Linked DNA regions of Sus scrofa. Each later gene encodes a partner of the first gene's protein in a complex. Links are inferred from orthologs where the notes say so. Each region holds a gene or a part of one and is shown on either strand. Other genes may lie near its edges. The genes, in order: TUBGCP2, NME7, TUBGCP4, TUBGCP3 and TUBGCP5.

The links.
Region 2: TUBGCP2 (region 1) and NME7 share a complex: the UniProt entries of both Homo sapiens proteins name them as parts of the gamma-tubulin ring complex. The link is inferred for Sus scrofa from reciprocal best matches to the Homo sapiens genes TUBGCP2 and NME7.
Region 3: TUBGCP2 (region 1) and TUBGCP4 share a complex: the UniProt entries of both Homo sapiens proteins name them as parts of the gamma-tubulin ring complex. The link is inferred for Sus scrofa from reciprocal best matches to the Homo sapiens genes TUBGCP2 and TUBGCP4.
Region 4: the proteins of TUBGCP2 (region 1) and TUBGCP3 are in contact, whole or in part, in a cryo-EM structure (PDB 8Q62), measured with the Homo sapiens proteins. The link is inferred for Sus scrofa from reciprocal best matches to the Homo sapiens genes TUBGCP2 and TUBGCP3. Residues at the interface, in NP_006650.1 of Homo sapiens: Gln172, His173, Pro175, Ile176, Phe177, Pro178, Trp180, Arg184, Ala186, Leu187, Ile188, Gly189, Phe191, Leu222, Tyr223, Val226, Val228, Asp229, Gly230, Arg231, Glu278, Ser281, Phe283, Gln287, His290, Ala291, Ala294, Arg297, Val300, Lys301; in NP_006313.1 of Homo sapiens: Glu272, Asn273, Cys274, Ser286, Leu287, Asp289, Thr290, Val292, Arg293, Glu296, Trp299, Ser361, Thr363, Leu364, Arg365, Leu368, Val369, Tyr372, Lys375, Ile376, Lys379, Ala382, Ala383, Asp386, His387, Ala402, Tyr403, Lys405, Thr406, Gly407.
Region 5: TUBGCP2 (region 1) and TUBGCP5 share a complex: the UniProt entries of both Homo sapiens proteins name them as parts of the gamma-tubulin ring complex. The link is inferred for Sus scrofa from reciprocal best matches to the Homo sapiens genes TUBGCP2 and TUBGCP5.

Annotation. Positions count from the first base shown.
Region 1 is NC_010456.5:141,242,102-141,247,576, reverse strand, and holds part of TUBGCP2 (gamma-tubulin complex component 2), read left to right. Parts: coding exon 1-98; intron 99-800; coding exon 801-960; intron 961-4,467; coding exon 4,468-4,675; intron 4,676-4,835; coding exon 4,836-5,035; intron 5,036-5,387; coding exon 5,388-5,475. UniProt on the Homo sapiens protein: Component of the gamma-tubulin ring complex (gTuRC) which mediates microtubule nucleation.
Region 2 is NC_010446.5:81,638,151-81,644,194, forward strand, and holds the start of NME7 (nucleoside diphosphate kinase 7), read left to right. Parts: upstream 1-1,756; 5' UTR 1,757-1,888; coding exon 1,889-1,891; intron 1,892-2,027; exon of another isoform or gene 2,028-2,157; intron 2,158-6,044. UniProt on the Homo sapiens protein: Possesses an intrinsic kinase activity. Displays 3'-5' exonuclease activity with a preference for single-stranded DNA. Does not seem to have nucleoside diphosphate kinase activity.
Region 3 is NC_010443.5:128,069,576-128,075,050, reverse strand, and holds part of TUBGCP4 (gamma-tubulin complex component 4), read left to right. Parts: intron 1-982; coding exon 983-1,105; intron 1,106-1,491; coding exon 1,492-1,545; intron 1,546-1,964; coding exon 1,965-2,021; intron 2,022-5,223; coding exon 5,224-5,303; intron 5,304-5,475. UniProt on the Homo sapiens protein: Component of the gamma-tubulin ring complex (gTuRC) which mediates microtubule nucleation.
Region 4 is NC_010453.5:78,213,869-78,219,343, forward strand, and holds part of TUBGCP3 (gamma-tubulin complex component 3), read right to left. Parts: intron 5,359-5,475; coding exon 5,240-5,358; intron 4,555-5,239; coding exon 4,429-4,554; intron 2,011-4,428; coding exon 1,942-2,010; intron 1,659-1,941; coding exon 1,526-1,658; intron 113-1,525; coding exon 1-112. UniProt on the Homo sapiens protein: Component of the gamma-tubulin ring complex (gTuRC) which mediates microtubule nucleation.
Region 5 is NC_010457.5:32,011,852-32,017,326, reverse strand, and holds part of TUBGCP5 (gamma-tubulin complex component 5), read right to left. Parts: intron 4,625-5,475; coding exon 4,531-4,624; intron 3,515-4,530; coding exon 3,268-3,514; intron 1,237-3,267; coding exon 1,034-1,236; intron 1-1,033. UniProt on the Homo sapiens protein: Component of the gamma-tubulin ring complex (gTuRC) which mediates microtubule nucleation.

The DNA.
Region 1 (5,475 bases):
TCGGCGCCTCCGCCACGGCCTCCAAGATCTCCATGCAGGAGCTGGAGGAGCTGAGGAAGCAACTGGGCAGCGTGGCCACGGGCCCCACGTGGCAGCAGGTACCACGCAGCCCCCGGATCTGGGTGTGGAAACAGGCTGGTCAGGACCTGGCTGGGGGCGGGAGCCCTGGGCCCATCGCGGGCGGTTCGGCCTCGTAGGCTGGTGTGTGGCTCAGCCACGGCAAGGCCGGTTCTGCTTTTCCCTGCATGGCCGCCGCGCAGTTAGTTCGAGATGCTTTTCTCCCTCACTTACAGCTCCTCCTGCTTTCAACGCAGTGGCTTGCTCTGCTCTCCTGCCGTCTGTCTGTCTTCCTACTGTCCTTCTTCCGTGGCCTTCGAGCCACTCAGAGCCACATCCCATGAGGTCTAAGCTGCAGGCCCGTGCAGTTGGGCACGCCCTGTGTCCAGCGCCTCTGTCCCTCGGCCCCTTGGGGCTCAGGTGGGGGCGCCCCTTTGCCACCAGCTCTTGCTGGGCCTCTCCCTCACCTGGCTGTCGTGTTTGGACCCCGTGCCTCGGGAAAGGTGGCTCAGGCCGCACGAGGCTGGGCCTGTGCTGTGGGAGGTGCTCTGGGTTGACCTGTGGGCGCACACAGGCCGGCCCCTGGCGTTGTGACGGCTCGGAGGCATGTGTTTCGTTTGCACACGTTTGTTGAAGGTCTCGTGAGTGCAGGGATCCGCTCTTCACACCTTAGCCGTGTCACTGTCAAGTGTTTGTGCTAAAAGTGTGTCTTTTCTCTTTGTTTCTGAAAATGCCTCTCCCAGTCCCTGGAGCTCACCAGGAAGATGCTTCGAGACAAGCAGAGCAAAAAAAACTCGGGCCAGCGTCTCCCGGTCCTCCCGGCGTGGGTGTACGAGAGGCCCGCGCTGCTCGGGGACTTCCTGCCCGGGACGGGCGGGAGCGCGGACACAGCTGTTCCCATAGGTAGGTGGCGCGCTGACTTCCGCCGGCAGGAGCCTCACAGAAGTCTGTCTGCGCGACGCCCGCAGAGATGGCAGGCGGGCCTCATGCTGTCACAGGCCTCCGCTGCCCTTGGGGTCCCACGGGCCGCCGTCCCCCACGTCCCATCCCTGATCACCAGTGGGTGGCGACGTGGCAGCTTTCGGGCGGCTCTGTGCTGGCTTCGGGAGAGTGTGTGTCCTGGGGCTCCCGCGGACCTGGGGGTCGTCCTTCTCAACAGAATTGCGGGCACTGCAGGCGCTGCTGCCGGGTGTCGAGCCCCCAACCACACAGGCCTTCTAGTGTCGCGTTCAGAGGACCATGGGGCCTTTGGGGACGCGGTATGTGTCCTGTCGCGTGCATCTCACCTGGCAAGCCCTCCCCTGGTCAAAGAGCCGTGTCATCCCTCTTGCTCACAGCGCTCGCGTGAGAGGAGGCGCTGCGGTGCCCTTCGGCTGCCACGCTTTCTCTGCACAGCACCTGCCATGTGGCCGCTGGAGGAGCTTGCCCCGCGGAAGTCGTCACGGGGCCAGAGGTTGCAAAACCTGGTCCCTGGGACCATGTCCAAGGACGAGAAGCAGGGTGGCGGGGGGGCTCCTGGTAGCACCGGAGGTCGTGGGCATGTAGGGGGCCTGATGCTGCAGGCCTGGGGCAGGAGATCCGGGGGCCTGCTGGGCTGGCAGGTGCCACAGGCTCCCCGTGTGGCCAACAGAAAGCAGAGAAGTTTCTCAGCGCTGCCAGGGGACTCTGTTGACGTCGGGTGTGTGTGGTCGTTAGAAGAGCTGAGTTCCCGGCCCTGCGTGAGGCCCACTCGGAACTGCCGGGGAGGCCCAGCCTCAGAGGAGGCGGCCAGGAGCTGGCTCAGCAGGGCAGGGTGTGCTCACAGACAGCAGACGTGGCGCGTTCCCATCTGGGCCCTGCCACTGGGGCGGGTCCCGCGCACACCCAGGGTGGGCCTGGCCGGGGGCAGCTTCTGCGGCCGCCTTGCACAACGACGCTCCCGGGAACTTGGGTAGGGCGGGCGGCCTGGCCACCTCCCTCCCTCAGCCACAGGCTCGCGAGGTGGGATCAGCGTCCGTCCTTCGGGCCCCATGTCACCTCTGTCACGCCCTGACACGGCTTCTCCCATGAGCCTCTGTCCCGTCTGCGCTCAGACCTGTGTGGTCAGGGTGCCTGTCCTCAGCCCTCCCCTGGCCTCCCTGTGGCAGAGTCTCACCTGGGAACCGCCTGCCCCCTCGTGCGACGTGCAGCCTGCCCCCCGCCAGCCACATGGTGCCTCCCAACCTCCTGGAGCGGAGGCAGCCCCCACCTGCCCGAGGCCGGGCTGCCCTTCTGCGCACGGGCCTGCAGCCCCGTCTGCTCACCCGGGCCGCCCCAGCCTCGTTCAGACGGTGCCGCGAGTCCGTCCTCAAAAGCCCTGCCCTGGCCTGGCGCTTGGCCCCAGAGACCCCACGTGCAGGGACCTCCTTGCCTCTAGCCATGTGTGCAGCTCCCCCCGCCGCCGCCTGCTGTGGCCTTTGTGGAGCCAGAGCCTCCGGCTCAGGTGCTCTGGGTGTGGCCAGTGGACACGGGTGGCTTGTCTCCCCTCTCGCCATCTCGGCCTGGGTCCTCAGGCTGTGCCTCTGGGCTCATCGGCATTTCCTTTTCCCGGGAGACCGCGCCTGTTTTAAGGAATCTGATGTCCCCAGTGTGGCCCCAGCTCGGTCCCTAGCACGGCTCTCCACGATTCCGGCTCATGTGGCCATTCATCTGCTGAGCATCCACGACGGCTGCCGGCCTTCCCCGGTGTCGTCGCCACTGCCGCGTGGTGACTGGTGGTGCCCGAGTCTGCCCCACAACCCCGTGCACAGCCAGCTGGGTCCCAGCGCCACCTCCCCCCACGCCTCCAGCCTGAGGGCGGCTTCCACCCTCAGCCACTTGGGCTCAGACGCTCCCACAGAGCTTCCTGTTCTGTCTGCTGTAACAGCTGGTGGACACTGGGTGCAGCTGGCGGGGACCTTGGTGGCTGCGACACTGCGTTGGGGTGTGGACCCTGAGCCCGCCCTGCCCCCAGGCCATCTCTGTCCTCAGAGCTGGCCTCAGGCGTCTGTTCTTTGCCCCTGAGGCCATCTCCATGGAGCGGTGGAGACCCTGGTGGCTTGGTCCGTCCAGTCCCTGCGCGGTGTCCCCTCACCTTGGAACATCTCCTGTCCCCTAGAGCTTGGCCTCAAGCTGGCCTCCTGACAGCCCTGCGCCCTCGGCTGGCCTCACGCGGTGCAGCTTGTGACGCTCCTCTCCCCGCGCTGCGGGCAGGGTCCCCACCCCAGGGCCTGCGCCCCCCGCCAGGCCGGGGTGGCCCCGACGTTGGCAGTAAATGGTGCAGAGGTCAGCAGCCCTGCACTTGAAGACCAGGCGGCCAGACCTGCCCACCTCCAGGGTCGTGAAGGTCACGTCCGAAGGCCGCTAGGGCCGTGGAGGGTCTGCGTGGAGTGGCTCTGAGTCCAGAGGGACCGGTGCCTGGACAGGTGGCCGTTGGACTCATACCTGTCCCACCTCTGCAGATAGGTGTGTGCCCACGGATGTGTGCAGCCGGCAGTGCCCCTGTCAGCTTGGGTGTCTGGGCCGCCCATCCTGAGCTGCCAGGCCCCGGCTTGGGTGCCCTGCTGCTGACCTGGGTCCCCACAGGGCCTGGGGGCGTGGGGGGCAGGGGCCGCCCTGCGGGGCCGGGGCTCTGGCAATGTCGCGGACGCCTTTCTCTTGGTGCTGCCTCCACCAGTGGGGGTCTGGGAGGGCGGCAGGACTGTCTGGGCTGTGAGGAGTTGGGGGGCGGCCCTGGTCCGTGGCCTGTGACTGTTGAGTCTGTCGGGGTCACAGGGAACCATCTCAGTCACGCGTGGGGTGGAAACCGTCGGCTCTTTGAAGCGTTCACAGAGAACCTCCTTATCCTCACACGGCCCGGGCTTACAGCTTGGAAGTACGGCGCGCATCAGAGGTGCTTCTGGGGAGTTCCCACCAGGGCTCAGTGGGTTAAGGACCCGACTGGTATCCATGATGTGGGTTCGATTCCTGCCCTCGCTCAGTGGGTTAAGGATCCAGCGTGGCTGTGGCCTAGGCCGGCATCAGCAGCTCTGATTTGACCCCTAGCCTAGGCACTTCCGTATGCCGCGGGTGCGGCCACACACAAAAAACAGTGCTTCCGATTCCCAGCCTGGTCCCTTTAGACAGGAACGCACGCGCATGTGTGTGTGTGTGTGTGTGTGTGTGTGTGTGTGTGTGTGCACGCATGCGCGCGCATGTGTGGGCTTCCGTTTGCTTGGTGCGCGCAGGCTCTGCCAGGCAGGGCCACTCCCAGGGTGCCCAAGCGCCTCTCCTGGTGGTCGCTGTGGAGGCACAGCCATTGGGGCCCCGCATGAGCACCGTGGTTCCGCCGTCCACGAGCGCCGGAGGCAGGTGCGCGAGGGGAGCGCACGGGGAGCCTGGCGGCGAGGCCCCAGCCGGCATCTCGGCCCACAGGCTCGCTGCCCCTGGCCTCCCAGGAGGCGGCCGTGGTGGAGGACCTGCTGTACGTGCTGGTGGGCGTGGACGGCAGGTACATCAGCGCCCAGCCCCTCACGGGCAGGCAGGGCCGCACCTTCCTGGTGGACCCCAACCTGGACCTGTCCATCCGCGAGCTGGTGAGCAGGATCCTGCCGGTGGCCGCCAGCTACTCCACCGTGACCAGGTAGATGCGGGAAAGCTGCTCAGCCCTCTCTGGGGAGAGGCCCCGGGGAGCAGGGACGAGGGCGCCTGGGGTGTCTCCTGGGGAGGAGCTGCGTGCAGGCGGCCTGGCCTCCTGAGGCGGCTGTGCCCTGGGGCTGGGCTGTGTGCCTTTCGTGCTGCAGGTTCATCGAGGAGAAGTCCTCCTTCGAGTACGGGCAGGTGAACCACGCCTTGGCGGCTGCCATGAGGACACTGGTGAAGGAGTACCTGGTCCTGGTCACGCAGCTGGAGCAGCTGCAGAGGCAGGGCCTCCTGTCGCTGCAGAAGCTCTGGTTCTACATCCAGCCTGCCATGCGCTCCCTGGACATCCTGGCCTCCCTGGGTGCGGCCCGGGCTGGGGTGCTCAGCCTCCACTGCTCACGGTCGCGAGAGCCAGGCTGTGTAGCTTCGTGGGGAGTTAGCTGGTGTGTGGGCGGAAGACAGGGAGCGGTCAGGGGAGTGGCCAGAAAGTGCAGCCTTAGAGTTTGAGTCCATCCCACAGAGAAAGCCTGTCCCGCATTCCCGTCGTGGCCCAGCAGGTTAAGAACCTGACTGAAGACCAAAAAAAAGAAAGAGAAAGCAAGCCCGTCCCCCGAGGAGGCGAGAGGGGCGCCAAGGGGCTCTGGCCCGGCACGGGGACCCCGTGGCACTGAGCCCTCTCAGCACTGAGCCCCGCCTGCCTCCTCCCCTGGCAGCCACCTCGGTGGATAAAGGCGAGTGTATCGGCGGGGCGACCCTGAGCCTCCTGCACGACCGCAGCTTCAGCTACACGGGCGACAGCCA
Region 2 (6,044 bases), on another chromosome or scaffold:
TAAAGATTATGATATTCTACTTGCTTCTTCATTTAGTAAACCTGCATTTAGGGAGTGCCCCTTACACCCCTTTTTCACAAGGTGATATTGTTATGACTACCCAATGTCTTAAAAAAAATGAGAGGTGGTTTACTTTCAAATTCCTGCTTCACTGGTATACTCTAAATTATCACCTATATACTCTAAATTATCAGATATGCGTCCTTAAATTTAGCTCAGAAATAGTACTGTAGTTACTACAGGTGCTCTGTATTATTGATAGATACCAGGAACTTAAAAGTAATTAGGAATTCCAGTCCTGGTGCAGTGGAAACGAATCCGTCTAGCAACCGTGAGGTTGCGGGTTCAATCCCTGGCCTAGATCAGTAGGTTAAGGAACTGGTGTTGCCATGAGCTTCGGTGTAGGTCGCAGAGACAGCTTGGATAGTGTGCTGTTGTGGCTGTGTTGTAGGCCAGCAGCTTAGCTCGGATTCCACCCCTAGCCTAGGAAACTCCAAATACTGCGGATGCAGCCCAAAAAAGGGGAAAAAAAAAGGTATTAAAGTAATTACCTTCTCAGGAGACATGGACACTATTTTGTTCACTACATGACAGAGGAGCTTCTGTTTAGATGTTTAACAAGTGACAAAAAATTCATAATAACTTAATTTGCATTTCTTGGTAAAAATTAAAATGTCATAGCATATATTTTCAGAATGTATGCATGACCTTACTAAATCTTAGTCTTACTAAGATTCAGGCGAGAACATGAGAAGGAAGGTAATACTAATGCAGTGATCACGAATGATGAACCAGGCACTAGATGACAAATGGTTTCACTCACAAAAATGATAACTCTTGAGTACTCGATATAACTCAGCATAGCGTCTTCCGTGCCTACCTTCCTTAAAAGTCACACCCCCGCCGCCACTGTTCTGAAAAATAGCTCTCCAAAGACCCTTCGCAAGAGCAATGAACCCTCGGAAGATGCGCAGGGAAATGTACAAAGGTCTGCAGGCAAATACTAATTGAAGGGGGTGGGGGTGGGTCTGGAGTGTGTAACAGGTATGAAGGTGGCAGGAGTGGAAGCGACAATCCTGTCAACCTCTGCCATCCCCAGAAGTCAAATCCAAAGTTCCGTCCCTGTCTGAACAAACCTTCCTGGAACAACGGGCAACCTTTCCTTAAATCTAAAGCGACTGAATGAACAACACACTTCAATCCAAACCTCTGTCCCTTTCCAAAATCCCCTCTCAGTTACACAAGCCCTTTCCTGGACTTACCTCTCAGATTCTTACTCTCCCAATTGCAGGGGGCCTCACTTTACAGGTTCTTTGGCTAGATATCACGGGTTAACTTCCGCGCACACTCCTCTAGCATTCCGAAGCCGATCCGCCCCAACCTTGGGGACATCAAGCTTTTGGTTCACGGCTAATTACTTCCGATTACTCAGGGTTTCGTTTCCGGAATACTTTTCAGAAGGAAAACACTTTTGGTGCCATTTAAACTCAAGTGACGCAGTGACGCAGAATATACGATTCAAGACTTCAGTAAAACAAAACTGGGTAGACTCTTATTAAAAAATAAAAAAAAGAATACTTGGACCCTAGCCGCATATAAGCCTGAACTTCCGGGTCGCCTTTCAACCAAACGGAAGTGATGATGCTGGAAAGAGGTAGGTGGTGTTCCGTTGCTCCAAGCTACGGCGTGAAGGGGCGGGTCGGTCGGCTGGGTGGGCGGAGCTCTATTTACTCCCAGCCACTAAGGACAAAGGGGCGGGGTAGTGGCGGCCCGCTCCGAGTCCGGCAGTAGGTGGGGCTCTGTTGCCAGAGTAACCTGGCGTTGGTGTTGGTGTAGGTGTTTTCCAGTCGCAAAGTTACCTATTTCCTGGTGCTGAGATCCCGAGGCGATGGTGAGTGCAAGGCGGTGTCAGAAGAAAGGCATCGCGGTCTTGTTTATGCTTTGTCCCAGGTCCTGGGGCGTCTGGGCGTTGAGAGGCATCCAGATCGCTTCTACCTTCGGCTGGTTATTTCTTTGTCCCTTTCCAGGAACTGTCCGTGCAATTTCCTCGCTTTCCCTACTTCTTGCAGCACCCTGAATTACACTTTGGTCCTGCTGAGCCTGTAGAGTATTGTGACAGGAAGTTTAAGGCTAAGACACGGAGTCTAGTAGTCTGAGGTGAGACCTTATTTCGGTCAAACATTGGAGATGTATGCATTTTTCATCATTGCATTTTTTTCAACCTCTCAGCTTCACTTTAACACGCTTCATTTAAAAGTATGTGGTGATGTTTATTTGACTTTTTCATGACTGATCCGAATCTCTCTGAATCCTGTAGTCTTTGCTCTCTTGAGGGCCGAGTACCGTTCCACACCCTAAGGGCCACCTAATAATAGCTGCATTTTGCACTAGCCCTAAATTATACAGTTGATTACCTTTTAACAGGAATACTCCATAATATCACTTGGAAATCACTTCTGGAAAATTCACTTGCTAGAGCTTCACCTTCAGAAATTCTGCATGAATAGAAACAGGCTCCATATTTGCATTTTTAAAAAAGCCTATAGATGATTTTCATTCGATCACATGTTCGAGAATGCCAGGTATGGCTATGAAATTAAATATGGAGACCCACCCAGAGTTCCCGTTGTGGCTCTATGCATTAAAAACCAGAGTAGTATCCATGAGGATGTGGGTTTGATCCCTGGCCTCGCTCAGTGGGTGAAGGATCTGGCATTGCTGCAAGCTGCCGCTTAGGATTTAGCCAGAACCTGGCATTGCTGTGGTGTAGGCTTCGGATTGGACTCCTAGCGAGGGAACTTATATATGCCACAGGTGTGGCTCTAGAAAGAAAGAACAGCAACAACAAACAGAGATCCACCCACCACCCCTTCTTTCTCTGTTAGGTCTTGTGTTTCTAGTTCAGAGAAACAGGTATTGAAGGATAATGCTTCCATCTTTGCTCTAGATTTTATTCCCTCCCATTCCTTATAGGACTTTCTGCTTTTGGTTATATTTTTTTCTTTCCTGTGCTTTCAGCCTCTTCCTCACCATTTCCTTCTCCCCCCACCCCCCCCCCCGTGTTCAAGCCATACACCTTAAGAAAATGAAATAAAACAAAAGCACACCCCCAGCCTGTGTTCGTTCAGTTTATTGCCTAGTCCTCCCATTTATCAGTAAACTGCTTGAAAGCATAGTGCTTCCATTTGTATCAAATTCAGCTCTTTACTTTCATCCTCAGCACTCAGTTATCTGAATTCCTCTAATGGCTTCATGAAGTTGTTCTTGCTTAAATTTCTTATGGCCAAATCCAGGAGTTTCTTCTCAAAATTTATTTAGCCTCTCTTTGATAGATGAAGCTCATCATCATTCATTCCTTCTTTTTTTTTTTCCCCACTGGCTTTGCCTACTTTTTAAATGCCATTCTCTGGGATTCATTCCTTAATTTCTTAGTCTGTCCATTTTCTTTGGCTGATTTCATCCACACACAAGTGTTCCACTAATGCCTAAGCATTCATTCTTAAATTTCAGTTTCATCTCAGACCTGGTAAGCATTCATTCTTAAATTTCAGTTTCATCTCAGATCTGGTAAGACCTGGACACTTCTAGCTGGTTACCACAAAGGCCCCTCAAACTCAACCAAAACTGAACTTGCTGTCTTTTCACCTGGCTTTTTTTGTTTCACCAAGTTGATGCTACCACTATATTTATAACCTAAACCAGAAACCAGAGTTTTCCTACACTCCTTTCTCTCCTATGTCTTCTCTGTTCAGTTGGTCACCTGATTCTGGTTTAGTTTCAGATTTCCTCAATTCTTTTTTTTTTTTCCTTCGCTTTTTTTAGGCCTTCACCCGAGGCTTATGGAGATTCCTAGGCTAGGGGTGTAATCAGAGCTACGGCTACCAGCCTATGCTTCAGCCACAGTAATGCCAAATCTGAGCAGCCTCTGCAACCTACACCACAGCTCATGGCAACTCTGGATCCTTAACCCACTGAGCGAGGCCAGGGATAGAACCTACAACCCCATGGTTCCTAGTTGGATTCATTTCCACTGTGCCACGACGGGAACTCCGAGATCTCCTCAGCTTTTGCTTGCACTGTTGTAGTAGTGTCTTTAACACTCTGGTCTGGTAATTCTTCAATTCATTATTTTCTCTACCACAAGAAGGAATTTACTGAACCCTAAATCTGTTGATGTTAATTACCGCTTTAGAACTCTAGACTCCTCATTCCCAACAGTATAAAAATTCAGCCTATCTGGAATGGCATACAAAGCCTTCTATGATCTAGGACTTAACCTGTCTTGCTTCTGTCATGAAACTTTCTTAGACATTCTTTTAGTTACTTGCCTTTTCATTGAACATTCCAAGCAACTGCAAACTGGTGGTAAGCCTCTTTCCTCTACTTTGCACATGCTGTTCCTTCCACCTGGAATACCTTTACTGCCATGTTTGCTAGCCAAACTCCTATTGATTCTTCATTCCTAGGTTAGGTGTTTTTCTTCTTTCTCTACTCAGAGAGAGTTGACTCTTCATTCTTTTTTTGTCACAACTTTACACAGTACACATTTCTCTTATTGTACTTACCACATTCAGTTGAAATTATTTAATAGGTTTGTCACTCTTACTAGACTTGATCTGTTAGAGGAATGGATCTTTATTTTGTTCACTGCCATTGCTTAGATTGTATTAGGCACTCAGCTGAATAAATTAAAAAAAAATAAGAATGTGTTAAGTGTCTGTGAGGGTACCAAGTACTTGGGGGATATTGGAGGATGGAATTTTCACTTTTCAGAATCAGAAAATCCACAAAGCAAGTGGAATAGAATTTCAATAGCTGGAATTTGGTGATCTGTACCATGGCATAGGGAGATAGTAAGTGACATTTGTGGAATACTGTTTTTTTGTGCCTGTCTGATATTTTTTCATTCAGAATTCCCAACAACCCTAAGATCAGTGAACTTCTATCCCTATCCTCTTATTCTGCCTGGAGTTGGGTGTGGTGGCTCTTTCAAATTGGGTGGTAAATGAAGGCTCCTCTAAGGAAGTGAGCTTTGTCTGAATGGACTGAATGATAAACTGCAGTGAACGAGGGAAGGGTTCTAGGCAAACTAACAACAAGATCAAAGGAGCGTCGAGTATTGCAGGAACTGACCTTATGGTTTAATGTGAAAAAAGAGTAGATATTAGATTATGAGGTGATGTGGGGGTGGTAGCAGTACAGGTGTGTGGTGGAGATTAGCAGGAAATTAGGGTAGAAAGGTAGGCAGGGGGAAGACAGCAGTATGTTTCAAACTGTGGTTGTATCCCATTACTCAGTCATGAAATCAATTTGTGGTAGGTAGCAGCATTAAAACGAAGACACATGAAATAAACATTTTCCATATTCATTGCATATGGCAAGGGTCACTTTCATGAAACTTTTGTTTTAAATTGCATGTGCGTTGGGTGTACAGGGTTATGCTATAGAATATATTTATTTCTTACTATGCATCATGATCCACAAAGTTCAGGATGTAGTGTATTTAAACAATACATACTCTGAATGGCAAAATTGTTTAAATCTCAAGGCATGCAGATTGCTTCTTCCTCCTTTGACCTAGTGACAATCTTACTGCATATCAGGAAAAACTGAATTTAATGAAAGCCTAAGACTGACTCTAGTAGAATTTTCAAGATCCTTTCTGCATCCAAATCTCTCTCCTGTGTCTGTTGCTGTCAGTCCTTGAAGAGAAAGAGTAGGCCTTTTGAAAAAGAGAGAGAAATGAAAGCCCTTTTCCTGTGTTCAGCCTGACCACTGACATCTGTACTCTTTCAAAGCTGGTGGTCTCTATAAGCAGCTGAAGATGGAGCTTGTTTGCTCTGCTGGTGTGGCTTCCTGATCACTGAAATTAAATTATCTGCATCTGGTTTGTTGCAGTTGTATCTTCTAGCACCAGAGTTGGGTTCTGGCTAACACCTTTACCTTACGAAGCAGAGATAGGCCACTGTTAGGTATATCTCACATACACGTTGTTTACGATAAAGAATATACTAGAACCATCAATTTATTTGCTTTTGCGCCTA
Region 3 (5,475 bases), on another chromosome or scaffold:
GTAACATGTGGGCCCTCACTTCATGAAGCTCCTGGTCTAGTGAGAGGACAGATAAACAAAAGTACAATTCTAGCAGTAAATAGAGGTGCAGTGAAAGCAACAAAGGGGAGCTGTTAATTCCCTAGGAAGGGTTAAAAGGGCCTTGCAGGGAGAAGATGCTTGCATTGGGTCCTGCAGGAATAGTAAGTATTTATCACAAAGATGAGCCCTCAGTTATAAGTAGAATACGCTCAAATTCACAGGAGTGGGAGATAGAAGCAAGGCACAACAGGTGAGCTGAGAGTGGTCTGGAAATGAGCATGTGAAGTTGGAAGCAGTGAAAGATAATTTTGGAAAGAGGGTCAGGGCCTGAATGCAGGAATCACCGTAAGCCATGGAGGGGAATTTAAAGGTTATTCTGGGACAAGAGGAAGCCACCAAAGGGACTTAAGCCAGAGGCTGTAAGGTTAGAATTGAGTTGTTGAAAAACCTCCGCTGAATATGGAGTAATACCTTGTTTGTAATATCTGAACCACTTGGAAAATTAAAACATTATCACATTTTAAAAGATCAGGAGTTCCTGTTATGGTGCAGTGGGTTAAGAATCTGAATGCAAATTGGCACAACATTGTAAATCAACTATAATTTTTTAAAAAGGAGAAGAATTAAAAAAAAAAAAAAGACTCCAACTGCAGCAGCTTGGAGTTTGAACCCCGGCCTGGTGTAGTGGGTTAAAGGCATTGCAGGTTAAATCCAAGCAGCTGTGGCTCGGATTTGATCCCTGGCCCGAGAACGCAGCTGTGATTAAATAAATAAGTAAATAAATAAAAGACCAGGACTCAAAATCTTTCTCTTCAGTCAAGTTTTCCTCTTTTCGAAGTACTGCTTTGATAGGGAATTATTTAAGCAAAACAAAAACAAAACATGCTATTAATAAAGGATAATGTCTTCCTGGGCTTCAGGGTCTGAGTTGAAAAGTTGACTTCTTTTTGTTTGATTTCAGGATCACCATCCATCTCAGCAGGGCCAAGGTGGGTTACACGGAATCTACCTTAGAGCCTTCTGCACGGGGCTGGATTCAGTTTTGCAGCCTTATCGCCAAGCACTGCTTGATTTGGAACAAGAGGTGAGAGGAGAAATGGGAAGCAACACCTCTGGGACAGCAGAAAGGGTCCTGTTCTGGATTTGAAATGCCCTTGGATATAGTCGGGTAGTTAAGAGTGAGCTGTTTTCTGTGTGGCTGGTGGGTACAGTGTGTGCTCTGTGATTGCCTAAGCCCTGATCAAAGGACGTGCAGACCACGGCAAAGGATCTCGGTGAGTTTAGAAGGAAGAGCCTTTGTTTCGGTTTTATTATCACCTGAAATTCAGAAGGAGCAATCTTCTCTAAATGATCAATTCTCTGTTGCCTAAAACAAACCTTAAGCCTACTCTCAGATTCCCTTCCAGTCTTCATGTTGAAATAGATTTGAGATCTTTTATATAGAGTCCTAATCAATGTTTTTTGTTGCAGTTCCTGGCTGACCCGCATCTCTCCATATCACACATCAATTACTCCTTAGATCAGGTGTGTTGCCCAGGTAACAAAATGCTTTGGAATCTGTTGTTAGAATAATCTTACTGTTTTTGACAACTTGTTCCCTTCTGGATTCAGAGCCCAGGATTTGATATTTTGTATGCTTTCCTGGATCCCAACTGTTTGAAAAGCTCCAAGTTTAGTAAAAACTTACTTTGTGATGTTAGTGCTATAGCTTGGCCTCAGTGTTAACAGTTACGCTAACCGCAGAGAACTGGTTCTGTCTGCCATTCTCTTTGTGCCTGCAGCCAACCCCCATATCAGATTGTCTTAGGGTACTGGACCTGGGCTGTTCAGTGATTGCCTTCTTTATGTTAAGTGGGACTGTTTAGAAACAAAGGCTTTTCCTGAGTTAATTGTTTTTCCTTGCATTTGATTATATACCATCCTAATTATTCTCTACTTTGCAGTTCCAGCTCCTTTTCCCTTCTGTAATGGTTGTAGTAGAACAAATTAAAAGTCAAAAGGTGAGAACTTTCCATTTTTCTTTTGCTTGCATAAGCACCAATGGGATACTGTATTTAATTTTCCTTTACATTCTTTTTTTTTTTTTTTTGCTTTTTCAGGGCTGCAAGTGCAGCATATAGAAGTTCCCAGTCCAGGGGTCTAATTGGAGCTGCAGCTGTCGGCTTTCCACATCAAGGTGAGATCTGAGCCGCATCTGTATCCCTATACCACAGCTCACAGCAATGGCTACTAGTCAGGTTCTTAACCCAGTGAGCCACAAAGGGAACTCCCTACATTTTTTTTTGAGACCCTAGTTTTCAGTAGTTTTTAACTTATTTCTTTATTCATTCAACAATATCATGCTTGGGTATCAGGAATGCAAAAATAAGTTATGACCCAGCCTTTAAGCACCTTCTGGGTCCAGACGGTGAGGGAAATGATAATAGATGTACCCAAGAATGCTGCTGGGTAAGAGAATAATGTTGTGGATACTTGGAGGTGAGAGCTTTGTACACTAAGGATTTAGAACTACTGGACACAGATCTAGAAGAAAAGCATAAAAGTTACTCCTTAGAATGAAAAAAGGTGGTAGATTTATCATTAGGGTGCTGGTAGTTTTCTGACAATTATTTAATCATTGATGAAAGCCAGATGTTTATTTATTAGTTAGATATGCCTTTTCTTTTCTTTCTTTCTTTCTTTTTTTTTTAAATGGCTGCACCCTCAGCACATGGAAGTTCTTGGGTCAGAGATTGAATCTGAGCCATAGCTGTGGCAATGCCAGATCTTTTTAACCCACTGCACAGAGCTGGGGATCAAACCTGGACCTCCACAGCCACTGGAGCCACTGCAGTTGGATTCTTAGCCCACTGTGGCACAGTCAGAACTCTTAATATATGCCTGTTCTCATCACAAGTTTTTATCATATGCATTGAAAATTAGGGTCTCCAGTGTCCAGAGAGTATCTTTTCTGGCAGAATTAATAACTCTGAGATGCTTTGAGATTTGGGGAGGGGAGGTGGGATGGGGGGCACGCCCACGGCATGCAGGAGTTCCTGGACCAGGATCAAACACTTGCCACAACAGCAACCCAAACCTATGCAGTGACAATGCCAGATCCTTAAGCTGCTGTGCTACATGTGAACTCCTGATGCTTTTATATTAGAAGAAAATCTGCTAGTTTGTAATTGGACTAGAGAAGACAGATTAAACATGTTTAGTTCATTCATGTTTTTAAGCTGTTACAGTTGTGCCTTAGCTTATTAGGAGTGTTCACTTGAATATAACTAGTTACCCAGTTAGTTTGTCAGATGGCTACTTCATTTTTTTCTTGTATAAATCTAGAAACTTACACTCTGCTGTGTTCATCCTGTGCCAGCCAAGCCAGTGGGGCAGGGGTGGGGGATGCTCTTTAGCCTGACAAAGCTGATTGCCCTCATCAAGTAACATGGAGCTTTTATTGTGCACTAGCTGCATACCAAGCACTGTGCTAAGTGCTTCACATACAGTCAGTCCTCTGAGGAATCAGATAGATTAAGGAATGTGCACAGGGTCACACAGCTGGTAGTAAACGGTAGAGCTGGGCTATAAAACCCACAGCCATCTGTGGGGACTATGCTCTTAACCTCTCTACTAAACCAGCTCCCAGAATTGGAGGCGGCTTTCTAGGTAAGTGGAGTTAGTGTTAGCGTCCGTGCATTGCTGCACATCCCAGTTGAATTTGAACTTCCATTGGCCACAGGAAGGAGAATAGTAAATAAATAGGGAGATTGCAGATGCGTGAAGCTTCGTTCCTGCTAGGAAGGTGGTAGGAAGCTGAGTGCTAAGGCCCAAAAAAACAGGTAGTCAAGAACACAGGCTGTGGGTGAGAACAGGGGTGAATGCATTGGCCCCAAGGGATCCTTTTAGAGTAATGGAAATGTTGTAAAACTGGATTATGGTGTTGATTGCACAATGCTACAAATTTACTCAAAACTGTTGAAAGTACACTCAAAATGGGTGAATTTTCTGGTGTGTAAATTATACCTCAGTAAGGTGGTTTTTTAAGAAAGAAAGAAAAGTATATACCTTATAAGAAAGCTGAATTAGGCTTTAATCTGAAGAGCTCTCTTTACCTCTTTGCTTGGAATTTCAACTCTCTATGATATTCCTTTCCCTAGTGTGGTAATTCCCAAACTTCACTGTGGATTAGAATGATCTGGGGCAGACTGTTAAAACCAGATCGCTGGGCCCTACCCCAGGGATTCTGATTCAGCAGGTCCAAGAAGTTGCATTTCTTACCAGTTTCCAGGTGATGCTGCTGCTGCTGGGGGGATGGGGTGGGTGGAGGGTCCCTACTTTGAGAACAACTATCGTGATGTTTCAATTTATAATAAGAAATGTGTATATTTGGTCTTTGTCCCATTTCTGTCACAGAACTCTTAAAACTCAGAATTTCCTAAGTAATGACAGCAATAAAGGTATCTTGATAGTTACAACAAATCCCTATCTACTATAGCTGAGTTTGTTAATGAGGTAACTTTTGGAGAGCACCTAAGTATGGGGGTGGTTGCCAAAGGAACCAACCATGTGATTGGAGGGTTGGTCCTTCCAATCCCACCATCTCCCCACCCCGCCCCGCCCACACAACCCCTCCAGGGAGAGGAGGGGCGGGGCAGAGGGCAGAGAGCCGGAACTGGAGTTCAATCAACAGTGGCCAGTGATTAAATCAACCATGTTGCCTGTGTAGTGAAGGCTCCATAAAAACCTGAGAGGACAGGGTTCGCAGAGCTTCCAGGTTGGTGAAGTGCAATTACTCCACGTGCCCCTAGGCAGGCAGAAGCTCCTTTGTCTGCGACCCCACCCTTTGTATCCTTTTGTCTGGGTGTTGCTTTAGTGTCCTTTGTAAGAAATGGGTAATCTAGTGAGTAATGGGCTTCCTGAGCTTGTGATTGGTATTGAAAGTGGAGGACCTGCTTGGCTACTGAACCTTTAACCTGTGGAATCTGAGGCTGTCTCTGGGTAGATGGTATCAGAGATGAGTTGGATTTAGGACTGGCCGTGTGAGGAAACCTCTCAAACACTGGAATTGGAGTCAGAATCAAAAGGATGTATAGTTCTTATGAGAAAATTTATTCCCATTCTCTGCTGGATTGTGCCCTCCGGGTTGAATATAGGATAAGAGTTTGTGCTGTACGAACTATCAAAATGGAATCTAGTTTGACAAGGCTGTGTCTTCCCCAGATTCATGGGTGTCAGATCCTGGAAACAGTATACAAACACAGCTGTGGAGGTTTGCCTCCTGTTCGCAGTGCACTAGAAAAGTAAGTCATGGCTTCATTGGGGTTGGGAGGAGGGTGGATGGTCAAGGGACCTGACTTTGTACATGTTTTATTTTCGAGTATGTCAGGTTTCCCTCTAGGGAAGGTTATGACTAGGATGGAAAAGCCCCATGAGCAGAGGAGCCCTTGTAATCCTTATGGTGGCTTAGTAATT
Region 4 (5,475 bases), on another chromosome or scaffold:
AGGACGGGGTGTGACACCAGGCTGAGGATGTGCTGCACCAGCGACCGCGCGTACGGGTCCCCCGTCTTGGTGTAGGCGTGGACGGCGGAGGCCAGCTCGCCCCCCTTCCTTCCTAGGGACACAGGAAACACCCACGCTAAGAGTCACAGCAGGAACCAGGAACGGTACACCCACCCACAGAGCCACGACACAGAGACCTGGTGCCATCTGGACCTAGAAGCAGCTGCCAGCACATCGCGGCCCGGGGGCCGAGGGGCCAGAGCCTCCCGGGCTCCACACGCGCCAGAGCCCTTCCCCGGCACGACCACAGCGGAGAACCTGCCTTGGGAGAAGGTCTAGAGCAGGACTTGGCACCTGCTCTGACCGAGACGCACGCTCTTTAGACTCAGACTCGACACTGCGCTCTACCGCACAAAGCAGCAGGGGTAGAAGATGGACATTTGCAAAACCATACTCACGCCTGAGTATTTTCCTCCTGTTTTTTTTTTTTTTGGTATAATATGCTGATCTCAACTTGCTAAAATGATGTCATAACCCATGAACTGGTGGCACCTGCAGTGTGGCTCCGTGAGAACAGTGCCCAGAGTCCCAGGAGCACAGCCCAGCAGAAAGGGCTGTGAGTGGCCAAAACCAAAGTCGAGGCACACTGAGAATTTCCCAAGTGGGAAAAATCCAGGGTTTTACGAGACTGAGGGAAGATTTTAAGGATCTGCTCTGAGTAAGACCCTCTGCGCGTGTGCACACAAAGCGACAGAGCCAGGCGGCAGGTCACGACAAGCGTGTGAAGGCACAGAGCAGGGATGCCGGAGTCCAGGCTGGGGGCCAGGGGACACCGAAAGAGATGGGGCTGGGACGAAGGCAGAGGCGGGGCCTGCTGGTAGACGGGGAGCGCTGGGATTTATTCATTGTACTCGACTGATTTCCTTCAGAGGTAAGGCTGCCAGCCACGGTGAACGTGGCAGTTAGTCCTGCTGAGTTGTGGCTGGGGAACTGCCCCGAGGGGGAGGGGGCAGGGAGAGCAGAGGGCAGGCAGAGCACCGGCTCCCGAGTCTCATCTGGTCCTAACGGCCCTGGAGGTAGAGACTCTTAGTGTCCCTGTGTTAACTGATGAGACAAGGAAGTATAAACAGTGAGGAAAATGTCAAGAAGGCAACTAGAGATACAGACAAAAAGACCAGAAGAGGCCCAACCCACGGGCAAAGACGGGAGGCTGTCGCACAGCTGGTGCCCCACGTGGACCGCACTCCGGAGGAGCGAAACCCCAGGAAAGGCTGCTCATTGAGATGAGACAAAGGAACACAAACCAACAGCCCTAACGAGGCCCAAAACTACCCCCCGCCCTCCTCCCTCAGCTCAGGAGATCCTGAGCCTCCACAGGCGTGAACGCTGGGCCCTGCCGGCAACAGGCATTTTCCCCGCAAGGTCACGTCTACTCATTTGCATTTAATCGGCACACTTCTGGCTGTTAAGCATACAAAAGAGCGGGCTACCCCCTAAAACCCGCTGTGAAGTAAGGCAGAAGGACCTTGGCAGTGGTCCACCAGGGCTGCTAAGGTCTTCAGCCTCATCTTGGGGTCATACGTCCAAACCAGGAGGCGCCGCAGCGTCAGGCTGCTCTCGAGGCCCAAATTCACCCCCTGGTCGTCCTCTAACTGCAGCTGAAAATCAGGAGAGAGAACGAGTAAGCGCAGGTCACCACATACGTTACCCCCTCACTCCGTGCAGACCCGGGGAAGGGATTATTCCCATAAAAACGCAACAGACATGCCCTCCGAGATGACAGCTCAGGCCGCAGGTGACCTGCTGGCGCCAGGCCACCCGGGACCCTCGCGGCCCGTCCTTGCACGTATCGCCGGGTCCTGCTCCCTAAAAGCGAGGGCGGAAGCATCCGCTCGCGCAGCGCGGGGGGCGCTGGGCAGCTCCACGCCGGCGGGTGCTCACCTGGGAGTGCAGGACGGAGAGCAGGCGGTAGTACTCCCTGAGCTCCTGGTGCAGCGCCGCGCAGAAGCTCTGCGGGGGAGGGGGGAGGAGGCGCGTGAAGGCCGGACCCGAGTCCCGCACCCTGCACGCTCGCAGCAACGCACGGGAGCCGCGCGGGGCGCGCCACGAGCCCGAGGTCGCGGGTCCCTCGGGATTGGACTCCGCTTCTGGCCTCGGTCTTCGGGCGGGGCCACCACCACGCCGCCGTCCGGAGGGAGGGCGGGGCGAGGAGGAATCGGGTTCCACACAGCGAAGGCGCGTTGCCTTCAGCGAGGGCTGCGGGGCCGCATCCTTGTAAATCAAGTCGAGGCGACCCGCAGCACTGGGCGGGTCAGTTCCCCGCGGGCAGCACAGCGATTTGCTTCTGCACATACACGCATGCACTGCGGCTTATTCTTTTGGATTCTTTGGCGTGATAGGTTATTAGGAGATGCTGGGCCCCAGTTCCCTGTGCTGCACAGGAGGTCCTTGTTGTTTACCTGTTTTATGTACAGTCATGTGACTCTATTAATCCCCAAATCCTAATCTAACTCCCCCCTCGTGTGGCAACCGTAAATTTGTTTTCTGTCTGCAGGGAACAGGTTTTATCCTCTGCAGGTTCTGCCTGTCACGGGCTTTCGTGGAAACCAAAGCTTCCCCCTGAATGTCTCTGTCCCGGCTTACACCCGGAGTTCACTCCAGAAAATTCCGGTCACCAGAGTGTGAAGCTCCTTCCTACAGCTCTTGATGTGAGACCTCGGAATTTAAGAATGGAAACGTACAAGGCAGTTTTCAATAAACTCTGGACGGTACACACTGAACAATAACAACAACAATAATAACAATAATAGAAGGAATTGATAGTTATCGGTTTTAAAATATTGCTAGAGGGAGTTCCCATCGTGGCTCATCAGAAACACATCTGACTAGTAATCATGAGGACACAGGTTTGATCCCTGGCCTCCCTCCGTGGGTTAAGGATCTGGCATTGCTGTGAGCTGAGGCAGAGGCCATCAGCTGTAGCTCCGAATCGACCCCCAGCCTGGGAACTTCCATATGCCACAGGTGTGGCCCTAAGAAGACAAAAACATAAAAAAATAAAACAATTTAAAATAAAAAACCTGCTGTATAGAACTGGGAACTATAACGAGTCCCTTACAACGGAGCAGGATGGAAGATAAGGTGAGAAAAAGAATGTATATGTGTATGTGTGACTGGGTCACTTTGCTTATAGCAGAAAATTGACAGAACATGTAAACCAGCTATCACGGGAAAAATAAAAATCATTAAAAATAAAACTGAAATAAAATACTGCTAGCGAAGAGCATTAAAGAAAATGACACTTTCACACTAAAAATTTGGAAGGGAGAGACACGGAAGCAACCTACATGCCCACAGACAGAGGATCGGCTCCAGATGTGCATAAACACACGGACGCTCTGGACACTACTCGGCCGCAGAAAGGAATGGAATAAGGTCTTCTGCAGCAACACGGATGGACTTAGAGGTTATTGCATTAAGGGAGGTCAGAGAAAGACACGTATCTCAGAATATCACCTACATGTGGACTCTGAAAAAGTACAAATGAACTTCTTTACAAAACAGAAGCAGACTTGTGACAGAAAACAAACACGGTCACCAAAGAGGAAATGCGGGGAGGGAGAAACGAGGGGTTGGGGTTAACAGGTGCACGCTGCCATGTATAAAACAGATAAACAGGGATTTACTGTACAGCTCAGGGAACGCTTGCAAGAAGCTATAATGGAAAGGAGAAAAAGAATATAGACACATACACACATGTGTGTAAACAAAACACACTCTTGCATATGTCACTATACACAAGAAACACACTATTATAAATCGACTCTACATCCGTGTTTAAAAAAATATTTAAAAGAATCAGGTCAAAGGGAAAATACATAAAAACATGTCAAGTGGAGTTCCCGTCGTGGCGCAGTGGTTAACAAATCCGACTAGGACCCATGAGGTTGCAGGTTCGGTCCCCGCCCTTGCTCAGTGGGTTAAGGATCCGGCGTTGTCATGAGCTGTGGTGTAGGTTGCAGACGCAGCTCGGATCCCACGTGGCTGTGGCTCTGGTGTAGGCCAGCGACTACAGCTCCGATTCCACCCCTAGCCTGGGAACCTCCATATGCCGCGGGAGCAGCCCAAGAAATAGCAAAAAGGCAAAAAACAAACAAACAAACAAAAAACATGTCAGGTGACTCATCCATGGTCACTGTCCCTGAGAGCTCATTAAGCAGTCCTTGAGCGGCTATATTTGACTCCGCCTGTCGGTGCATACTGTGCTTTCTGTTCTCTCGGGTGGACCGCGACTGACGCAAGTCTATCATCCAAACTTCTCTCCATGGAAAGATTCCCCCTTCAGAGCTACCTTCACCCTAACACTGAGCAGAACAAGCATTTCCCCCAGCGAAGGCGCCCCGGGTGCCCCAGCAACAAACCACATACCTGACCTACGAGTCCAAAGGACCGGTCCAGACTCCTCTGGTCCGTGTACTTTCTGATCTTATTGTGTAACCACCCCAACTCCGCAAGTCTGACCGCCGTGTCCCTAAGAGACTTACTCAGGTTTGCCTGAAAAGCGAACATACCAAGAGTTAAAAATTCAAAAAATGTTTCAACACAACTAATTATTCTTCTTCTCAACCACACGTACTTTTATATCTGTATTTCTTACGCTTCAACCCAGGAAACTTTAACTGGTATACCAGCACTAAAGTGAAGACACGAAGCCTCTAGGAGACAGCTTCAGGGAGCGGGCGGGGAGGTAAAACACAAGACCTGGGCGCCACTGTCCCCAGGAGCGCCCAGCCAGGGCGCCCGGCGTAGGGGGACTGCCTGGGACATCAGTCACCTGGTGACTCAGCCAAGAGAAGCAGAAGGATGCAGGGAAGCCAGGACTGTGGAAAGGCAAGGTCAGGAGGACAGAAGCACAAGCAAGAAGCATCGTATGTGGAATCTGTATCGACGGCAAAGATGCCGAGACACCTGACGGGCAGGTAACTGTGGCGTGACCACGGAAGGATGCAGAGGCCGGCTGGAAGGGCAGCGGCCACCAGCGAAACAAGGCAAGGATGCAAGTGCTGAGGACGACGGCCCCCCAGACAAGGCCGCACAGGGACAAGAGCACAGCCTGACCGGGACTCCGAGTCTGCAAACCAGCTCTGTCACCCCCATCACCCCCTCCACCTCACAGCACTTACCTGGTCCTACTGACGTTTGACCTCTGAGCACTTGGGACGGGCTGGCAGCTACGTACCTTTCCCTCCACTGTGTAGCAGTTGTCAGCGTTGCTCATCTTGACATGCTTGCCGTCTATGCCCTGGAAGACGTACAGAATGTCTCTGACCAGGGCCGCCTCCGTAACCTCCACGGCACCTGCAACGGAGTTTCCACAGGAGAACCATCACCAAACAAGAGATGAATAAATTACAAAACACGGGTCGTCGCAGACTATATATCAGCAACCAGAACAAAATTTAAAAACTAAATAAA
Region 5 (5,475 bases), on another chromosome or scaffold:
TTGGCGCAACTGCAGCTTGGGCTTGGATTCAATCCCTGGCCCAGGAACTTCCGAATGCCATGGTATGGCCATAAAAGAAAAAGAAGGAAAAAAAGAAATTGCAGAGCTGAAAGAAATCAACTTCTTTTCTACTGAAATGCAGTACAAAAATGTTGAGAAAACAAAGTTACACCAAGAAATAAGGTAAAACATCCAAATTAACCTGCAGCTTTTCTAGATTATAGTCTCTAGTTAGACTTGTATTTTTTTTTAATTATGGTAAAAAAATACATAATATTAATTATACTACCTTAACCAATTTAAAGTGTACTGTTCATTAGTGTTTAGTGTATTCATACTGTTGTGAAAACAGACCTCCTCCAAACTTTTTTCATGCTGCAAGATGGAAACTCTACCTATTAACCATCTCCCCTTTTCTCCTCTCCCCTAGTCTCTGGTAACTACCATTCTCTTTTTCTGTGTTGACTACTCTAGATACTTTATATCATGGATTTGTTATTTTCATTTAAGAAAGGGTTATTATAAATATCTATATAAATCACCTAGGTATTTTTCACAGCTTGCTTTTACATTTTATTCTTGTGGCATTCTTCTGGTGATCTTGGCAATTATGGCTGAAAAACTAGTTTCTTGCAGCCTCAAGTTTAGAAGCTAATTTGAAAACTCAGAACAGGAGTTCCCATCATGGTTCAGTTGGTTAACGAACCCAACTAGTATCCATGAGAACTCGGGTTCAATCCCTGACCTCTGCTCATTGGGTTAAGTATCCAGCATTGTGGTAAGCTGTGGTGTAGGTTGCAGATGCGGCTCAGATCCAGCATTGCTGTGGCTGTGGTATAGGCTGGCTATAGCTCCAATGTGACCGTGACCCCTAGCCTGGGAACTTCCATATGCCATGGAAAAAAAAAAAAAGAAAACTCAGAACAACTCTCTGATACACCATTTTTCTGAAGATCTATGACAGATTATCCACCACTCCCGTGGTTGACCAGAATGAGTTACACTCAGTGGACTAGAAAAGGGTCCCACATACAGTTTGCTCAGAGGCTTCTCCAACATTGTCATATTCAAGGATGGCTTTGTACAGGGTGTTAAGCAGGTGAGATGCCCGAACAACATTTCGAGTGTCAGGTGGAACTTCTGCTACTCCAGTACTAAACACTTTGTGCAGAACCTTGAGCTGAGCCAGTCGAGGTGACAACTTGTCCACCACAATTGCAAGAGTTACTGTAGTATCTGCAAATACCCAGAAATCAAACTCATTAGCAAGGAAATATATCTGCAGTCAAAATGTGATATAAATGCTAAGACACTTGTGGAAAAGCACAGCAAACTGGAGGATGGTGAGTTTTAATCTCATATAAATTTTCCTAAATAAAAAAAAAAGAACTCACTAAAGAAGGAAAAGACAACTTAGAAAAATAATAAATGAAGGAACTGACATTTCATGGAAAAGGAAATTCAAGTGCTTCTTAAACATAGAGAAAGACACTCAACCTCACTTATGAAAAAAGGATGCAAAATAAAAACTACACTGGGCAAACAAAAAACAGACTACAGTGGGTTCCATTTTAGTGAGGGGAAGCTGGGAAGGGTGCCGACAAAAGGCAGCAAGAACAAGTTCCCTCATCAGGATGGCATAGCTCTGAATCCTAAATATGGAGGTGGTTATACAAACCTACACATGTGATAAAATGTCAAAGAACCTCCCTGCAAAAAGCCAAGTACCTGCAAAACGGGTAAAACCCATGTCAGGTTTGCAGACACGTTAATGTATTGTGCCAATGTCGATTTCTTAGTTTTGCTAACATATTATAATTATGTAAGATGTTAACACTAGAGGAAGTTGGGTGATGGGGACGTGGGACCTCAGTGTACTATGTTTTTTGCAGTAGTTATAAAGTTACAGGTTACAGTGATCACCTTTACTGGGTCACCACCATTTTCACCTATCATATTGGAGAAAACTCAAAAGTTTCAAAACACACCATTGGCAAGACTGTGAACAAATGGGTACTCATATATAATCCTGGCAAGAGTGTAAAGTTATTTATCTGTATCTCCGTGGAGAACAATGTGGCAATATCTATTGAAATTGCCTATGCCCTCACATACCCTTTGACTTAGCAATTCCACTCTGAAGAATCTGTGCTATAGGTACCGTGTTTTCTAAACATGTGTACAATTACTTACACATAAGTGGTTATCACTGAAGCACTGCTGGCAACAATAAAAGATCAGAAACAGCCTAAATGGCCATCAAAAGGTGACTGGTCTATGATTCATCCATACAACAAAAGGCTCAATTTGTAAAAAAGAACGAGGAGGCTCTTTATATATTTGCATGGTATAATCCTCAAAGTTTAAATTAAGAAACATTTTGGGGGAGTTCCTGTCATGGCGCAGTGGTTAACAAATCCGACTAGGAACCATGAGGTTGCGGGTTCAGTCCCTGCCCTTGCTCAGTGGGTTAACGATCCGGCGTTGCCGTGAGCTGTGGTGTAGGTTGCAGACGCAGCTTGGATCCCCCGTTGCTGTGGCTCTGGCGTAGGCCGGTGGCTACAGCTCCGATTGGACCCCTAGCCTGGGAACCTCCATACACTGCGGGAGTGGCCCAAGAAATAGCAAAAAAAAAAAAAAAAAGAAAAAAGAAACACTTTGAAGAGAGCAGTTAATGGATTACTACATATGTGTAAATGAATATGCTTTGCTTTACATAGGTCCAAATTATTTCTGGAAGGATGTCTAAGAAACTGATCACATGGTTGCCTCTGGGCTTGGGCACTGGCACAGGAAGAATTTTTCAGTATAAATCTTTCTATACTGTTTGGATTTTGAGAAATGAATGGCTTAAAAATGATTTTTAATAAAATGGCTTAAAATAATTTTTAAAAATGAGTGTATTCAGGGAGTTCCCCTTGTGGCTCAACAGTAATGAACCCAGCTAGTATCCCTGAGGATGCAGGTTCAATTCCTGGCCTCACTCAGTGGGTTAAGGATTCAGCGTTGCCATTAGCTGTGGTACAGGTTACAGATGTGCCTCAGATGCCACGTTGCTATGGCTGTGGCATGGGCTAGCAGCTGCAGCTCCAATTTGACTCCTAGCTGGGGAACCTCCACATGCCATAGGTATGCACCCCCACCCTCCCAAAACGAGTGTATTCAGAATTACTTATTTGCCATGTAATTTTCAAATCTTGTATCAATTGTTAACCTAAACAGCATTCCAATGTGTCTTATGAATAAAAAGGAAGAATATTTAAATACCATTATTGATGATGCACTTCTCAATTTCTGAAAGTTCCTCTTTGAAACTAATGAAATATTTGTACAGGGCCCACATGAAAGCCTGGTATGTTCTAAAGGGTGCGTCAGTCGACTTCTTGGGAACAGAACCATTTCCAGGTAACGTGCTTTCAGAGCTATGCCCCATGACTTCATCAATGAACTCCTGGAGTCGAAACACAACTTGGCCATATGCAGCTATTTGTTCTAGCACTGATCGTAAGCAGCTCTACAACAGAAGCAAACCACAATGGTTTAAAGTCAGTCCCCTGCAGGCATTGTTATTCATATCCCCCTCAGTGTAAAATATTTCTTCTATGATCATTTCATTTATTTATTTATTTTTTTGTCTTTTTGCCTTTTCTAGGGCCGCTTCTGAGGCATATGGAGGTTCCCAGACTAGGGGTCTAACTGGAGCTGTAGCCGCTGGCCTATGCCACAGCCACAGCAACTCGGAATCCATGCCATGTCTGCGACCTACACTACAGCTCATGGCAATGCTGGATCCTTAACCCACTGAGCAAGGCCAGGGATCGAACCAGCAACCTCATGGTTCCTATGATCATTTTAAACAGTATGCTTAGTAACAGATAAAGTTATAAAACGAATATTCAGTTTCATATTCAAAGGAAATAGTGTAAGCATTAATTTTTATAAAATATAACATTTTGGCTTATATTTTTTCTAAAAACAGGAGTTCTGGTCATGGCTCAGAGGTAACGAACTAGACCAATATCCATGAGGATGCGGGTACAATCCCTGGCCCTGCTCAGTGTGAGCTGTGGGAGAGTTTGCATGGCTCAGATCTGACGTTGCTGTGGCTGTGGCTATGGCCGGTAGCTGCAGCTCCGATTCGTCCCCTAGCCTGGGAACCTCCATATGCCAAAGGAGCAGCCCTAAAAAGCAAAACAAAAAACAAACAAAAACAAAAAAACAGAATCAAAACCCAAAAACCCCCCACATACATATAAGGTAAACATATAATACCATAGGCAGAAAAACTATAATAGCTCTCCCAATACAGAATGACAAAAAAAAAAAAAAAAAAATCAGAAAACATAAAACAAAACTAAATATGAACATCCCAAACAATTCTCTAAATACTGTAAAGATACAAACTTAATTTTGTCTTTTGGATTTTAAATATATTTAGCAGTTAATTTTAATACTGCAAAATGTTCTAAAGTTACAATTTTAATTACAATATTTAATTTTATTTAATTACAATAAATGCAAACAACTTACATGTGTCAAGTGAGTTACCATAATATTGTTTCTCACAGCTACCTTTCCATCTATCAACTGAAATATAAACAGCTTTTTTACCCCTGAAAGTAACCTGAAATGAAATAAAAAAAAGACGAATGAAATTTAAGTCTCAGAAAATGTTCATTACACTAATGCCTAAGAAATTTTCATAAAAAGAAGGGAAGGGTGAGGGATGGCACAGGTCAGATAATTAGAAAATAGAAAATATCAATCTTTTTTATCTAATAATTTTAAGACTCAAGATAGTTCAATATCATCTTTTAAAAAGTCTAAAGTGGAGTTCCCGTCGTGGCACGTGCTTAACAAATCTGACTAGGAACCATGAGGTTGCGGGTTTGATCCCTGCCCTTGCTCAATGGGTTAAGGATCCGGCGTTGCAGTGAGCTATGGTGTAGGTGGCAGACGCAGCTCGGATCACAGGTTGCTGTGGCTCTGGCGTAGGCCAGTGGCTGCAGCTCCAGTTAGACCTCTAGCCTGGAAACCTCCATATGCCTCAGAAGCAGACCTAGAAAAGACAAAAAGACAAAAAAAAAAATTAAAAATTAAAAAATAAAAAGTCTAAAGCACGGAGATCCCACCGTGACACAGTGGGTTAAGAATCTAGCTGCTGGAGTTCCCGTTGTGGCGCAGTGGTTAACGAATCTCACTGGGAACCATGAGGTTGCGGGTTAGGTCCGTGCCCTTGCTCAGTGGGTTGACGATCCGGCGTTGCCATGAGCTGTGGTGTAGGTTGCAGACGCGGCTCGGATACCCCGTTGCTGTGGCTCTGGCGTAGGCCGGTGGCTACAGCTCCGATTCAACCCCTAGCCTGGGAACCTCCATATGCCACGGGAGCGGCCCAAGAAATAGCAAAAAGACAAAAAAAAAAAAAAAAAAAAGAATCTAACTGCTGCAGTTTGGGTCACTGTGGAGGCACAGGTT